2 linked regions of the Mus musculus genome follow. The protein of the gene in region 1 interacts with the protein of each later gene in a pairwise test. Links are inferred from orthologs where the notes say so. Each region holds a gene or a part of one and is shown on either strand. Other genes may lie near its edges.

Region 1 (8,296 bases):
TCTGGCCTCGGCAAGGCACCAGGCAGGCATGTGGTGCACATGTGTACATGCAGGCGGAATCCTCATACATATAAAGTAACCAGTAAACCTAAAAACAAACAAACAACCTTTAAGCTGACCACTATGTAGATTTCACCAATGCTCACAACTCATAACCTGGAAGACAGCTGTGGCTGTCTGCCCTGACTCCCTTCCCTCTGCTTTAAGCCTATTCCCTGGTGAGCGCACCTATCCCCAGACATAGATACCACCAAGCACATGGGGGGGGGGGGCTGAGAACTAAACCTAGGTCACAGGCTGTCACCTGCTGGAGGAAAGGGGACTGACATCATGCCAGCTCCCGTAGGCGCTGCCTCTTGAGTGCTGGGATTAAAGGTGTGCACTGCTGAGCTAGCTCACAGCCCCTCTTTGAGGAAGTCATACTGTTCTCAGATGAGAAGCTCCGGCCAACAAAGGTAAGGTGACTACAGAACAAACAGAAACAGGGCTGGCTCTGCATTAGAATTCAGAATGTGGATCAAGCGAGGAAATTGGCTCTCAAGAAACGGCTCTGAAAATGCTGAATAGGATGGGTAGGTGGCTGGGGAAGAGAAAGTGCTGGAGACAGAGAAAAGCAGATATGAAAGTGGGAGGGGCAAGAGCACCCAGGCCAGATGGCTCCTGGCATTATCAGCAACAGCTGCAGCGGGGGAAGCTGACCTCAAGAGCCCAGGGATCTGGGTATCCCACCGTGGGTGGGTCGTCATCCCGGATGAGAGCAGAGGCTAAGACATGAGGTCAGTTAAGGTAGAGAGGCCACTCTGCCCACATCTGACCTCATCTGCCTTTGGTGGATAGGAGACTCTACTAAGTGGAAGGCTGACACGGCAGTGGCTAGCTAGAGTTTGTTTCCCACTCTGTCCTAGAGGAAAGGCCCTGCACAGCCCTGGGACCTGCCAATTGGACAGAGGACAAAACAGAACAGGATGTGCCAAGATGGGCTGAATACAAGCATGACAGTGGGTTTTGGAAGGGTACAGCAGGGCTGTGGAATGGATCTGGAGGTAGAACTTAATCTGGGTCACTGCTGCACCTCTAGAGTCACTGGGTACCTCCTGATGTCAGGCCCTGAGGCAAGTACTGGATATAGACCCCAAAGTGTGGGAGGTACAGACATTCCTGTGCTCACAGATAAGCACTACAGAAACCAAGAATGTTAACCGAGCAGAGTTGTCTCTTCAAAAGGAGAGATGTATAACCTGTTTTCTACCTAGAAGGCTGGGAGTGGAGGTGGCTAGAAAAGGTGGTGACCTCTGTACTATCTGTTTGATCAAGACCACACCAGATCCTTCCCCCAGACTCTTAAGATGTCACGTGTAAGTTAATCTATAGAACCCATCTTTATGGAAGACATGACGAGTACTTTACAAAAAAAAATTCAATGCAGTCATGTCTTAAGCTTTATTGTGCACCTGGGACTGAGCTAATTATCACCCGGAAATTTTGATCAAATCGTGTTGTACTTAAATATGCCTAAAATAAACCTCCCAGTGTCGAACTCTCAAAGTCTGACCCAACACCAGCTACTGAGTCGTGTTGAACTAGGCTGCCTTCCTGCCTCATGCAGATCTTGGATCATTACTCTGCGGGCCAAAGTGTTTGCACACACACACACACACACACACACACACACACACACACTTCAGGGCTGACGAAAGAGTGAGAAAAAGTGGGGATGCAGCTCAGCTGACAAAATGCGTGCTTAGTTCAGTTCCAGCACCACCTAAAACTTAGTCTGGGTTAAATGAGACTCTATCAAAGAAAGAAAGAAAGAAAAGAGGTGCAGAGGATGGAGGGGAGATGGAGAGAGAACAGAGGTAGAAAGAGAGGAGAGAAAAAAGAAGTAAGAAGACAGAGAGGGGGAGAGAGGGAGGACAAAAGTAAAAGAGAGAGGGCTGGAGAGATGGCTCAGTGGTTAAGAGCACTGACTGCTCTTCCAGAGGTTCAATTCCACCACATGGTGGCTCACAACCATCTGTAATGGGATCCGATGCCCTCTTCTGGTGTGCCTGAAGACAGTGACAGTGTACTTATATACATAAAATAAATACATCTAAAAAAAGAAAAGAAACAGATAACAAAACAATGAACAGAGACTGGTGGCTGTCAGTTGCAAAGACGAGGGCTGACCTCCACTGGAGCAGACAGAAAAGGGACCCAGAGACAGTGCAGAATCTAGTACCTAGTAGCACTTTTCTCAGAGAGCTCTGGGAGAGCCTTCCAGGCACAACTGCAGATGTAGAACACAAAGACGCCTCAGCAAACCACTAATTATTGAGAGAGTGGGTTAAAATAGGGTGGTAGATGGAGTCCATCTGCTGGGACACATCACATAACCCCTCTGACAGAAACCACTTGCTGAGGTGCGCAAAGATTCTCAACTTAGTGTCTATTGAACAGCCTCTCTGTGCTGGGCATTGTACCAGGTTGGCGCTAAGTATATGCAGATGAGACAACCACAAGTCCCTACTCTCAGAAAGAGACGTTGTCCATGTGTTCTGGAGGATTATAAAGCAGGCGCTAGTGAGAAGAAAGCAGTACTATTCAGAGAAGATAAGGTGAGCAGGTGTTCTAAGTACCCAGAGACAAAGTTCAAAGTGAGCAAAGGTATGGAAGGGAAGGTGGACAGCAACGTGTTCCCCGATCGTAAGGGGCTGGAATACTGGTTACAATATGCATAAATGAGGGACTTACACCTCAGTCACTCATGCCAGTGGGAATGGAGAGAAAGCCCTACACTTTACCTTGGATAGTGCTTCCTTGACAGTTCCAAAAAGTAAGACATGACAGTACAAAAGGTAAGGGCTTTAGAAGTACCGCCAGCCCTTAGGGGCAGAGGGACTTGCTCAATCATAAGAAGTTAGGTTGGGCAGAAAAGAATCAAAAACGGCAGAATAACCCCTTAATGCGACATGTGTACACACACACACACCACACACACGACCGGATCTCACGTAGTTCCTAAGTATCGAGGATGACTTTGAACTCCTGAGCCCTCCGGGGTCCTGGGATTAGGTGTGTGCCATCACACCCAGTTTACTTGGTATTGAGAAGCCAGGCTTTGGGTGTGCTAGACAGGAATCCAATTGAGCCATAACCCCAGCCCGGGAATCTCTTCCTTTTAACACTAAGCTTCTGTCGAGAACAGAGCTTCCTCGGCATTAAAGTGAACACAGCCTTCCAGCCCTTTCCAGAGCTCAGATCCAAGGGTGGGCAATGCCAAGAGGCGCAACACAGCAGGAGCTTGTTCCAAAGCCACTCCTTCCTTCCCGCCCTCTCACCCATCTCCTCCCTCACTGGTCCCACACATTTTCCGGTCCCTCCTCCACGATCCCATTCCTTCCGGTCGCGCCCCTTCAGCCCTACATTTTTCCGTCCTCCTCATTGGTGAAAAAAACCGAGCCGCCCCCAAGTTGCAGAGAAACGTCGTCCGCATAGTCTTTCCCGGAAATGACGCTAGACCTGCCCCTGAGGAAGTGACAACAGGAGTGCCCTTGACGGGCAGGCCGGCTGGGCTCTGCATCCCTCTGCTCGCACTGCCGGGAGGTAGGAGCCCTTGCGGGGTGGGCTGAGCCGGGCTGGCGGCGCGCTTCTCTGCAGGAAGGCGATCGGCAGGGGGATGCCCCTAGAGGGAGGAGGTGGCCTTGGCAGCTGCACGTCCTGTGCTCCCAGTCTCCCTGTCCCCCACCCTCCCCAACACGTGTCCATTCTTTGGGCTTCCCTCCGTACACATGCCACCCGCTTCACTTTGGTACCCCATGGCCGGTTCCTACGCCTCTCAGTTCCTCCTTCCGTAGTTGGGAGTCTTCTTCGCTCATTCTTCGACAGCTTCCCTTTCCTTAATTTCCCATAAAAACACTTTTTTAAAAGAATGACTGATAAAAATTTTACAGACGGCCTTGGGTTCCAATTAGCTGTACTTTAAAAACTGGCCTACGTTGGGCATGGCACTTAACCTACCTGTTGCCCTGAGTATGGACGGTATTATAAGGTTTCTTCAGAGTTGATCAGAGAGAGCCAGTGATGTGTGTGTGTGTGGGGGGGGGGGGCATTGGGCTATACACAGTGATGTAAGGCACTTGAGCCTTGTCCCTCCCTCCATTGACCTTTTATAATTCCACCTCAGCCTTGATTTCTTTTTGGCTGTCAACCCAGTTTTTCTGCCCTTCTAACTTAACGTCTATTCAGTGATGCTGACTCCTTACTCACCTCTAGATATTTTTTTTTTGTTGTCGTGGGGAGGTTTTAGAGACCAGGTTTTATTGTCTAGCCCAAACTGACCTTGCCTTATATCACCTGCCTCGCCTCCCAGGAGGAGGATTGACAGGTGGGCCCCACCACACCTGGCCTTTGAAAATCATATATTACAGTATTTCCATGCATCTTGCTTCCAATTCTGTATGTTCCCAACACCTCATTATTCCAGAATTCTTTGTTTTCCTAGTGTGTTGACTTCCTATTGCATGGCCCCAGCTCTTCCTGCCTCTTGCTCCCACAGATGGCTCAGCGGCTCCTCCTGGGGAGGTTCCTGACCTCAGTCATCTCCAGGAAGCCTCCTCAGGGTGTGTGGGCTTCCCTCACCTCTAAGACCCTGCAGACCCCTCAGTACAATGCTGGTGGTCTAACAGTAATGCCCAGCCCAGCCCGGACAGTACACACCACCAGAGTCTGTTTGACGACCTTTAACGTCCAGGATGGACCTGACTTTCAAGACAGAGTTGTCAACAGTGAGACACCAGTTGTTGTGGACTTTCATGCACAGTGAGTACTGGGGACAGTAAGAGATGGAGGGTCTTACTTAAGTATTTATTGAGGGCTCACTATGGCTCTCTACCATGTGTAATGCTTATCTACATACACTCATTATGAAGACTTTTGAGACCCTGTGCCTGTCCTTAAGTATGCAGTATGGTAGGAGACAGATTGATGGTCTTCCTAGCACACTAGGAGACATGCTGCCTCATGCCTACGTCCTGTATCTCAGTGCCCGAAAAGCTCAGAGTCTGCTCCAGTGTGGAACAACATCGTATTTTAACATCGAAACCCACTAAAACTGTGGGAAGGACTGGGCAAAACATTATCAGTGCCACCATAGCCGTCCCCAAGTACGGATGGGGTGGGCAGGAGGTGTATCTTCTCAGTACCGCAGGGGTGTGTTTTAGAGATATATAAATGCCTGCCTTGTGGCCTGGTCTTCATTTCCAGACCTTTACACCAGATTCAACCAAAAAGCCAAGAACCCGATTGCCATCAGGTTTTCTGGACAAGTCTCACCGATTCTTTTGTTTTCTTCCTGGTCCTTTCTCTGACTCACCTCGTTGCCTTGACCAGGCCAGTGCGTGTCCTTGTCATCTGAGATAAGGCCTTGCAGGCTGGCTTTTTAGGTATAGATTTATTAATTGATTGACATTTCTGAATGGGAGTTTTGGGGTAGGGGATAGGGGTTGAGATAGAGTCTTGCCATTTAGCCTAGGTCAGACTTGAACTTATCTCCTCCTGCCTCCACCTCCTATATATGAGATTACTGGTATGTGCCAGCTCAGAAAAGGAGTTAATGGCCAGGGACCTCTGCCTTCCTGTGATGGTGGGGGGGCTTCGAAGGGAATAGTCAGTGGGCTAATCCTTCTTTTGTCCTATACAAGGTAGTTAATTGCATGGTTCAGCTTTGTTTGTTTAGTGCCAGGCACACGTCCGGTACCACATACAGAGATGATAGCACACTGTCTGCCCTAGGAGAGTTCCTGCTCCCCAGCCAAGGAGGGATCGCTCCCGTACATTGCAGTGTGATCCTCGGCCGCTGACACAAAATCAGAAGAAAGTTCTGGAGTGAAAGGGTCACCCAGAGACACTTTGTCTACAAAAAAAATCCCAGGGGCTGGAGAGATGGCTCAGTGGTTAAGAGCACTGACTGCTCTTCCAGAGGTCCTGAGTTCAATTCCCAGCAACCACATGGTGGTGAGCCACCATCTGTAACGGGGTCTGATGCCCTCTTCTGGTGTGGCTGAAGACAGATACAGTGTACTCATATACATAAATAAATAAATCATTAAAAAACAAAAACGGGCTCACAACCATCCGTAACAAAAATCTGATGCCCTCTTCTGGAGTATCTGAAGACAGCTACAGTGTACACACATATAATAAATAAATAAATCTTTAAAAACAAACCAAAAAAAAACAAAAACAAAAAAACAATTTTAGTGGCTGGAGAGATGGCTCCGCGGTTGAGAGCATTGGCTGCTTTTCCAGAGGACCTGGGTTCAGTTCCCATAACCCATACGGTAGCTCACAAACTGTCTATATCTCCAGTTCTAGGGGAGCTGACACCCTCACACCAGTGCACATAAATTCAATTTATAAGTAAATAAAAAAAAAAGGGTTAACCTTTGTTTAGCTGGGCAGTGGTGGTACATACCTTTAATCCCAGCATTCGGGAGGTAAGGACAGGTGGATTTCTGAGTTTGAGGCCAGCCTGGTCTACAGAGAGTTCCAGGACAGCCAGGGCTACACAGAGAAACCCTGCCTTGGTCTGGTGAGATGGCTCAGTGGTTAAGAGCACTGACTTCCGAAGGTCCAGAGTTCAAATCCCAGCAACCACATGGTGGCTCACAACCATCCTTAACAAGATCTGACTCCCTCTTCTGGAGTGTCTGAAGACAGCTACAGTGTACTTACAATAAATAAATAAATCTTTAAAAAAAAACAAAACAAAACAATGAATTTATTAAAAAAAAAAAAAAAAAGAAACCCTGCCTTGAAGAACAAAACAAAACCAATTCCAGCACCTAGCAAGTAGAGACAAGTGGATCTCTGAGTTTGAGGCTAGCTTAGTCTACAAGTCAAGTTCCAACCCGACAAGGGCTACAGAGTGAGACCATGTTCCAAACCAACACCTCCATCCCTCTCCTCCCCCCCCCCCCAAAAAAAGGAAAGAAAGATGCTTTTAGCAATCCTGAGGTGATCCTGGCTCTCTTGTTTTATCAAACAAGACTGGGCTTCACTATGTAGCCCAGGCTAGCCTCAACTTCCTGTTCCTCTTTCTTCCTGTCTTGGTTTACTTTTTTTTGTTGCTATGACAAAATATCCTGACAAAAGAAACCTAAGGGAGAAAAGGAGCTGGCCACAGTTGCAAGCAGGGTCCATCACAGTGGCGGGGGCTTGGGGCAGCTGGCCATATTGTATCCATAGTGAAGCAAAGCGTTGCTGTGCTCAACTCCCCAGCTCCCCCTCCCACACCCCTCTTTTTAAACATTTATTTATCATGTGTGTGCATACATACATGCTCGTACCATGTTATGCATGTGGAGATTGGAGGTTAGCCCTCTGGACTTGACTCTCCCAGCATGTAGGCTCCCAGCGGCAAGCACCTAACTTGCATGCTCACATTCTCCTTCTCAGAATCCTAGCTCAGAGCCACCCACCCACCCACAGCTGGTGGCTCTATCCCACCTTGGTTTACATCATCAGAATAACCCTCCATGGGCATGCCCAGAGACCCCTCTCCCGAGTTCAGGAATTACCGGACTGCGCCCCATTGCCAGGCTGTGCTTGCCATCCTGTCATCTGTAAGAACTCCACATGCCCTGGTTCTGTCAGGGGCCGTTGTCTCTGAAGGTTCTGCCTAGCTCTGAGAAGGTTCCAGCACGAAGGCTGGCCGTTGCAGACGCTCCTGGGTTTCTATCCCTTCCATTCCCCCCTCAGAATCCATGTGGGGCCCGGGGAGGCTCTGGGGAGAAATGTGGAGCAGCGAGCACTCAGGGCTGACTGTCCCTTCTCACCTCCAAAGGTGGTGTGGCCCCTGCAAGATCCTAGGACCGCGGCTAGAGAAGATGGTCGCCAAGCAGCACGGGAAGGTGGTCATGGCCAAAGTGGACATTGACGATCACACAGACCTTGCCATTGAATATGAGGTAGGTGTTGGCAGAGCGTTGCCTCAGGGAAGCCAAGGCAGGTGCGCTGTGACCAGTAAGTGACGTGTCTGCTGTTGTTCTGGAGCTCTTCAAAGGTCTCGGGGCTTTGCGCTCGTGGCTCTGTTGATCCACAGACACCCTCAGGAAGTGGATTATGTGACCACTAGGTCCTCCTGTGTCATTGTTCTTTTGAGATAGGGTTTCATATCATGCAGGCTGTCCTTGAACTCCGGATACTCTTGCTTCAGCCATTCGAGCGTTAGAGTTATAGGAGTGTCCACCATATTTGACTACAAGCCATCCTCTCAGGTCTTCCTGCCCTGTCCACCTCACTGGCTTCCAGCCAT
Region 2 (7,563 bases), on another chromosome or scaffold:
TACTACCATACCCAGCTAAAGTAGTATTTCTACAGCCGTTGAGTAAAATCAGATTTTTAAGTTTAGGGATCCCATATATGTATGAAAAATTTTAAGTACAGGTATCATAACTGGTGTTATGATTTAGGGAGTAATTGAAATACTAATAATCAGACCTGCCAAACCACACTTATGATACCAGAAAATGTAAATTATACTTAAGCACATACTTAACTGGGTTGTAGGTATAGAACTTACTTCTCTGCATTGTTACTAAGCATGTTAGAGTTGAGGACTTTAAGGACATTTGTAGGTAGTTGCTTTGACAGCATCACACCCTGTACTGTAAGGTTAACAGACTTTTTGTCGGCAACTCTTAATTCTGTAGTGAACAATCTAAGGCAGTCGCTCTCAACCTGTGGGTTGTGACCACCACAAGGGGTTGCATATCAGATATTTATATTAACGATCTGTAACAGTAGCAGAATTACAGTTATGAAGTAGTAAGGAACTAATGTTATGGTTGAGTCAGCACACCATGAGGAGCTGTATTAAAGGGCTGCAGCATCAGGAAGGCTGAGAGCCACTGCTCTAACATTAAGATGAGTCTACCTAACCTAGAATTTGCTGGGTCACAGATTAAACCAGAACAGTTTTAACACTCAGCATTTACAGACATACACATAAACTAGTCAGTGTTTTCATCTTCTAGATTTCATATCACTTGCTATCTAGTAGAGAATGTAATGTGTTCTTTGGTGCTCTTTGGCAGACAGAATCTGTAGATGAAGCTGAGGTTGCCACAGTGGACAATGTGAAGCAGGAGAAAGGCACTTTCTGGGAACCTGCTGCTAAGGTGACTGTAGAAGAAGTGAAGACGTCAGCGTTTCAGGTATGGGCTGCTTTTAAGCATGTACTGGTCAAACAAGGGAATCTGCCCTCATTACTGATGAACTAGTTTGATTCTTGTCCTCATGTTGAATTTCAAGTAAAATGTAGACAGGTAAAATTCTTACTTTATGGTAGTTGTACATCAAAAACCAAAACCAAAAACCATACACTTTCCCTGAAATGTTACCAACACAGACAAGAACACAAGAAATAATTGTAACCATTGTACCAAATATACTCTTTATTATTGGTAATTGCATATTGTACCAATGATGACATAAATGCATTTTCTGACACTTAGATGTCAGTTTGTTCAATTCATCTCATCAATAATAATCACTTTTCTCAAATATCACATGTACCTATTAATTGGCAGAAATTTGACACGACTACATACATTCAAAATTGTGTTTTGAACACAGGTGATAGAATAGGGTCCTAAGGAAAACAATGTTCTAGGTTTATAGTGCAATAGTAACTTGTTTTCTTGGATGTAGCTGTAGGCCTGAATATATATAAAGTTCAATTTAAGTCAGTTGTGTTCGAAAGCCCTATGAATTTAAACTGTGACTTCCCTTTGAAAAACTAGTTGTTAAGATATGTTTTAGTTTCACCTCAGTTCCTCTTCCCCTTCTATGCAAGATGTCTGGAGCCTTAGTTTTCCTTAATTGGCTCCAAAAGTATGTTGAAAGGTATTATGGCTCTCAGCATTTACAAACTTATTAGGAAATTCATGTTTTATTTCCTTAATGATGTTTTTAAAGACTACTCGTGGATAGTTGTTGGACAAGACAGCATTTATCATTGGGAACCGTTGCACAGTGCGACTTCTTGTCTGCCACATACAAGTTAGGACGTGGAGAGTAGTAGCACATTTAGGTTATTGTTAATACAAATGGGAAGGCTGCCTTCTTCGTGATCCTATGACTAGTTTCTCTTATATTATTTTTAGAATGAGTATTATGTATTACTTGTTTCATGATTTCCTTATTTTCCAGCCTCACACAAAGAGAGCCCGTCGGGTGTTGCCCTTTGAAGAAGAATACAGATCAGTATTTAAAGCTGCAGCAAGGGCTTTGGAGACAACTGAGTTTTTACTCAAACACTCTCTTGCTCCAGCATGGCTGCTGCCAGAACTGGAGGCGCTGCAAGGAAGGATCGAGAAGCTAAAACGCTGTGTGCTTACAGGGTAAAATATGAATGGCCTGTGTATCGACAGAACTGGGCTGACTCTTCAGATGCCTGCCTGGGTGTTTTGTAAATGAAATTGTGAATGTAAATTATGTTTGTATATTTTCATAGCACATAAAAGAGCTTTTGTAAATGTGAAAATAATCTTTATTTGACATAAAGAACAAGATGGGAGATGAGGGTGGGTATTTCTCATTGAGAGCTTTGGTCCAGTGTAATACAGGTGAAACAGTAACTGCCCAGGTCCGAAGGAGAGGGACAGACTGTAAACAGACAAACTGCCTAAGGAGCCTTAGCAGTCTGAAGTTATAATTTACAGCTAGGTTTGTTTGTTTTCTTTTTCCACTAAGTTATTTCATAATAGAATTTACTCTTTTAAAGAAATGGCACAAAATTAAGCTTACCAGCTTGAATTTTTTATTTCTTCCAGAATTGTCCTGGAAAAAAGCACTTCTTTAGCTGTTTGCTTTGTATGGAAACTGGCCTCAGTCAAGTGCACACAGCACTTTCTCCTGGACTCTGGCACCGAAGCCTTTTGCCACCAGGACTTAGTCAGCAACCTGAGGTTGGTCTCTGCTTGACTTGGCACAGACTGCAAAAAAGAGCTCCTGGTGTGGGGAACACAAGCTGCTTTGGGGTTTTGCATCCATGCAGCTTGCTTTGAGGTATTAATTCTTTGAGAATTCTTCCTGAAGCTTTTCATTATCGTCACCAGTTGTTATCTTCCCAGGCTAGCTCTTCTCCTTCCCAGCCTTCTGCCTCTCCCTGCAACAGAACACACTGACACTAGCTGTCTGCGGCAAATTGTGTACACATCTGAAAAGCCAAGCATTTAAAAATGACCCAGAGAGAATGCCTTATGATAAGAAACGATAAAGCTGTTACCAAAAGTTAAAAGCAAGATTAGTTCTGATGTTAAAAACCACACCCATTGGAAAGTAAGTGTGCAACACAGTGACATCTTTCCCCACATCGAGGAGTTACTCATTTAGCAGGTGGACCCAGATGTGGCCAAGGACAGTTATACACAAGGCACAAAACAGAAGATATAAAATGGGTTTGTATTTTTAAAAAACATTGATGTGCATGCATATATCTATGCCCCACTGTGTCTGGTGCCTGTACAGGTCGGAGGGATTGAATCTCCTGGAACTCGAGTTAACAGATCATTTCATGTGACGCATCCTGAGAAAGCCAGCAATCAAACCCAGGCCTCCAGAATAGCCCGTATTGTTAACCATAGAGCCATCTTGGTAGTTTGATTTCTTTAAAATTCTGAACCATGAACACTGTAGATGATAGCATTGTGTCATGTTAACAGGTTGGGCATGTCTGAAGGACTAGTTCCTTTTTGTAGCACTCTGAAATAATTTTCTAGGAACTGGTTGTATTATTTCTGGGTTTACTTTGAACATTTTTAGTCAGCTGTGCACTCTGTTCTTTCGTTGATAAAAATGCTTGTTTATTGCTAGCTAGGACTTCTGAGAGAAACCCTGACAGTAGCACGCTTATTACAAAGAAAGAACTCACCTCGGTCATTTCTGTTGCAGCAAACTTTGAGGAAAACTGCATCAGTGATGAGACGTTATCCTTGTCAGGGACCATCACTTCTGTCCTTAGTTCAGGCAGAATAAGAAAAGTACCTGAAGGCTTAATTTCTGGGATCATATCTGCAAACCAGTCCAACTCCGGGTCTTGTACTGGCTTCTTTTTTACTTGAATGGTAAACTCTTCTCCCAAACCAAGTCCTGACGGAGCCTTCAGGGGTCTTTCTTGTGACACTTGGGGTGGTTTGACTTCCTCATGCTGTCTATGACTGGTCTTTGAGGAAGGACTGGATTGCAAAGGCTTTGACTCTTCAGTGAGAGGAACCAAAGCTGCAGAGGTTGACTGTCCCCCTGAGGTAACAGGCACAGGAGCAGAGGCTGTAGCTGTTGAGTTTATTTCAGTGCCAAAGCTAGCCTCACCATCATCCCAGGTCACCTCCTCTGCGGTCAGGTTTGTGTGCTGGGACTCTGCTACATCACAGGGTTCTCGGGGCCATCTGTGAATACTGGCAGGCTGCTGCTCAGGCTCCTCAGGCTCGCTCCAGTCAGGCCACTCCTCGGGCTTATTAGAACCTGCAGGGAAGCTTCCATTGTCCTCTGAAGTGTTTTTCACATCTGAGAGTCCATTCATAGGGAATTTAATGGTGTGAGAAAACTGATCACCTATGGGTATATGCGAGAATTAGTCTCATGAAATCTTAAAGCAAGCAATAAGTAGGTCTAATTGGAAATATCCATGAACACTAGCAAAAGTTAGGCAGTAGAACATAAAGATGCCAAATAGGGGCTGGTGAGATGGCTCAGCAGGTAAGAGCACCCGACTGCTCTTCCGAAGGTCCGGAGTTCAAATCCCAGCAACCACATGGTGGCTCACAACCATCCATAATGAGATCTGACGCCCTCTTCTGGAGTGTCTGAAGACAGCTACAGTGTACTTACATATAATAAGTAATAAATAAATCTTTTAAAAAAAAAGATGCCAAATAAATTCTCCAAATCCACATGGCACTTAACTCAAAGGCATACCATGTCATAATTAACTGATCTTTTTAGATCATTGACTAAATGTCCAAATACCTGTTGGCATAAGTCTTTCAAATACAGATAAATACAGAATCAGTCTTATCCTTTGGTAGTAATTACACCTAGAAATGTGTGCTCAAGTAAGTTTTTTGTTTGTTTGTTTTTTATTTATTTACTGGGGTTGGCAAGGAGGGGATCTGGGTGCATACATGCCAGATAGTGTATAGGTAAAGGACAGAGTGCAGTTGGTTCTACTTTTTCATTGAACTTGGGTTGCTAGCCTTTCGCCACAAGAGCTTTTACCTCCTGAGCCATCTGTCCAGCCCATTTCACTGTTCCGAGACTCATCTTTAACTGTGTGTGTACACGTGCATGTGGGTGAAGTGCCCACAGACGTCAGAGGACAGGATGCCCTAGAGCTGGAGTTAGTTAGAGGCCAGTGCTGGGGACCAAACTTGTGTCCCCTGCAAGAGTAATTTGTTCTTTTAACGAACTGCTGAACCATCAATCTGTCTGGCCCACAAATAAGTTTAAAACAGATTTTCTCAAATGTCATCAGGTATTGAGGGATCTAGGTTTACTCCAGTTTCCTATCCTAGTGAACATTTTTGGCTACGTGTCTTTATTAACATCTTATAGAACTCTTCACTTTTGGTATATTATGATGCAGAAGGTATCAGAATACCAAAGCATCTGATACAAAAATGAATTCAAGTACTGTTAATGTACAATGTGGGAGGATTAGATGCATAACAACTGTTTGGAGAGGTCAGACAAGACAGCTAGTCCAAAGTGTACTTACCATTCTCAGGAACAGCTCAGAGCAGTAGGACACAGCTGAGGTTCTTACCTGTCTGTGAGAGAGAGCTGTAACATTCTTCCTGTATGCGCTTCCTGCTGCTGCTGGGCACGTTGCCAGACAACCATTTAGGGAATACGTTAGACGAGGGGTCCTCCAAGACTTTTGAGACCCGACTCTGCTGGCTGCAGACAACATGCATGGGAGAACCTGAAGGGAGAGGGGTGTGCTTACACCTTGGACATGATTGGTGAGCAACAGTCAGGGGAAATGGTGCATGTAGCACAGATAAAAGAACATCATTAAATATTTGGTGAAAAAAACATTATTAAATGGGTTTCCTGTCTCCTGAGGTTAAAGACAGGTTCTGTTGCCACTTGGTGATGGGACAGAACTATGAGGCAATGCATAGATAAAATTTCAGTCCTTAAAATTGTTCTGGTAGCAATGTAAGACCATGATTCTAATTTCCTTTTAAGAATAAAAGGCTAGTAAGAGTACAAGCCCAAAATAATGACTTAGCACCACAGAACTATACACTGAAAATAACTTTTCTGTTGTGGTATTTGACAGTGAGTGAGGAAAGCAGGCTTAACAATTACCAGGAAACTTACACTTAAGATTAGATGTCAGTCAGAAAGATTTCTAATTACAGCTGAATATTTCCCCTACTTTAAAGCTAGGCTAAGGGGAGTGAAGTGTCACTCTAAGGCTTCAGCTCTCTAGAGCACCTGTCTCTCTCCTTCACCCTCAGCGCTCAGTGTCTAGCACTCCAATCCAAGGAACTGCATTAGAGACCCAGGATTTTGTAAAGAAATCATGGTCCTATTCAAGGTCATACAAAGTAGCAAAAAGGCTAATTTTGTTAATACAAAACAAACCAAAGAACGATTTCCTGAAGTACTCAAAAATATCTTTTATCCAAGTAGTCTAACAAAGTAACTTAAGCATCTAGTGTTAAAAAAACAAGTCTTTAGTCCCTACTAAAATTCAAATATATCCTCTAACCTACAAAGTCTGCTTCTGAGACTGCTATGGGAGTGGGACCACACATATAAAGATGCATGTGTAAGTATTCTAACAATACTAGTACATACTGACTAAAATCCAGCAGCAGAAACAGCAGCCATCACTAACTCACTGAATTGGATTCAGTGAAATATGAGGCAGGTAGAAAAGTGAGGTAGCGTTTATGCAATGACGTGGGAACACATCTTTAATATATAGTACATGAAAATAATAAATTTGTACATAGCATCATTAAAATAATCGTATGTAAACAGTTATCTGTCTCATGGGTTTGCAAAAAAGGATTCTCACTTAAGCCATTAAAGGTTACTCTGTACCCACTATGAGTTTGAAAAGAGAAATTCAACTTTTTCTCATGCTTTCTGTCTATTAACTTCAACATGAACCTGTATTCTATAATACTAAAAAACCTAATAAAATAATTTTTAGTCTTACCTTCAGGGGAAAGGTCACTAGTTTTGGTGAAGCTTGGAGCGGTGCGCTTAAAGATCTTGGTTCGTTCTCCTCCCACAACCACTTCTGGTCCAAGTAAAGACACCAGCACTGCCAGGCTACGGAGAGTAATTGCCACAATGGAATTGCTGGTATCACGAAGGCCCAGTAGTACCTAGGAGCAAAATTGGGGATAAGGGTAGACAACCATTATCTTTGTATCCTGGAAAGGACCAACTGGCCTGCAGTCATAAAGCTTGTTCAAATGAACGACATTTAATTTCTAAGGTTGGTGGCTCTCTAACCTTCTAAAGGAAGAAAACAATATCCATCCCTCCCAGTCCAGCTTGGATTGCTACTTAAGAAAACAAAACACCAGGACTGGCAAGCCAGCTCAGTGGCTAAAGGCTCTTGCTTTGAATCCTGACGACCATGAAGATCCCCCCACATGGTGGAAAGAGAACTGCCTCCCATGGGTTGTCCTCCACACATGAGCTGTGGAAGGTATGCATGCACATAAATGAAGGCACATACATACAAATATATGTATTTTTTAAGATAGAGCCCTGATGAAATACAATGGAAACTAAAAACTCCCAACTGCTACAAATGGCAATTTTACATATAAATATTCAAACTTTCTTCATTATGGAACATTAACAGCGTAGGAGC

Evidence for each region. The genes of interacting proteins can lie anywhere in the genome.
Region 2: the proteins of Txn2 (region 1) and Scyl3 interact in binary tests that used the Homo sapiens proteins (3 or more experiments, as listed by UniProt). The two-hybrid records come from large-scale screens. The link is inferred for Mus musculus from reciprocal best matches to the Homo sapiens genes TXN2 and SCYL3.

What each region holds. Positions count from the first base shown.
Region 1 is NC_000081.6:77,924,196-77,932,491, reverse strand, and holds the start of Txn2 (thioredoxin, mitochondrial precursor), read left to right. Parts: upstream 1-3,497; 5' UTR 3,498-3,585; intron 3,586-4,537; coding exon 4,538-4,800; intron 4,801-7,825; coding exon 7,826-7,949; intron 7,950-8,296.
Region 2 is NC_000067.6:163,948,645-163,956,207, reverse strand, and holds the end of Scyl3 (protein-associating with the carboxyl-terminal domain of ezrin), read right to left. Parts: intron 7,067-7,563; coding exon 6,895-7,066; intron 6,894-6,894; exon of another isoform or gene 5,641-6,893; coding exon 5,482-5,640; exon of another isoform or gene 4,272-5,481; coding exon 3,592-4,271; exon of another isoform or gene 2,827-3,591; coding exon 2,770-2,826; 3' UTR 2,643-2,769; coding exon of another isoform or gene 2,492-2,642; 3' UTR 2,064-2,491; coding exon of another isoform or gene 1,869-2,063; 3' UTR 1,082-1,868; downstream 1-1,081. Other genes in the region: BC055324 (uncharacterized protein C1orf112 homolog), read left to right, coding at 752-871, 1,869-2,059, 2,492-2,626. UniProt on the Homo sapiens protein: May play a role in regulating cell adhesion/migration complexes in migrating cells.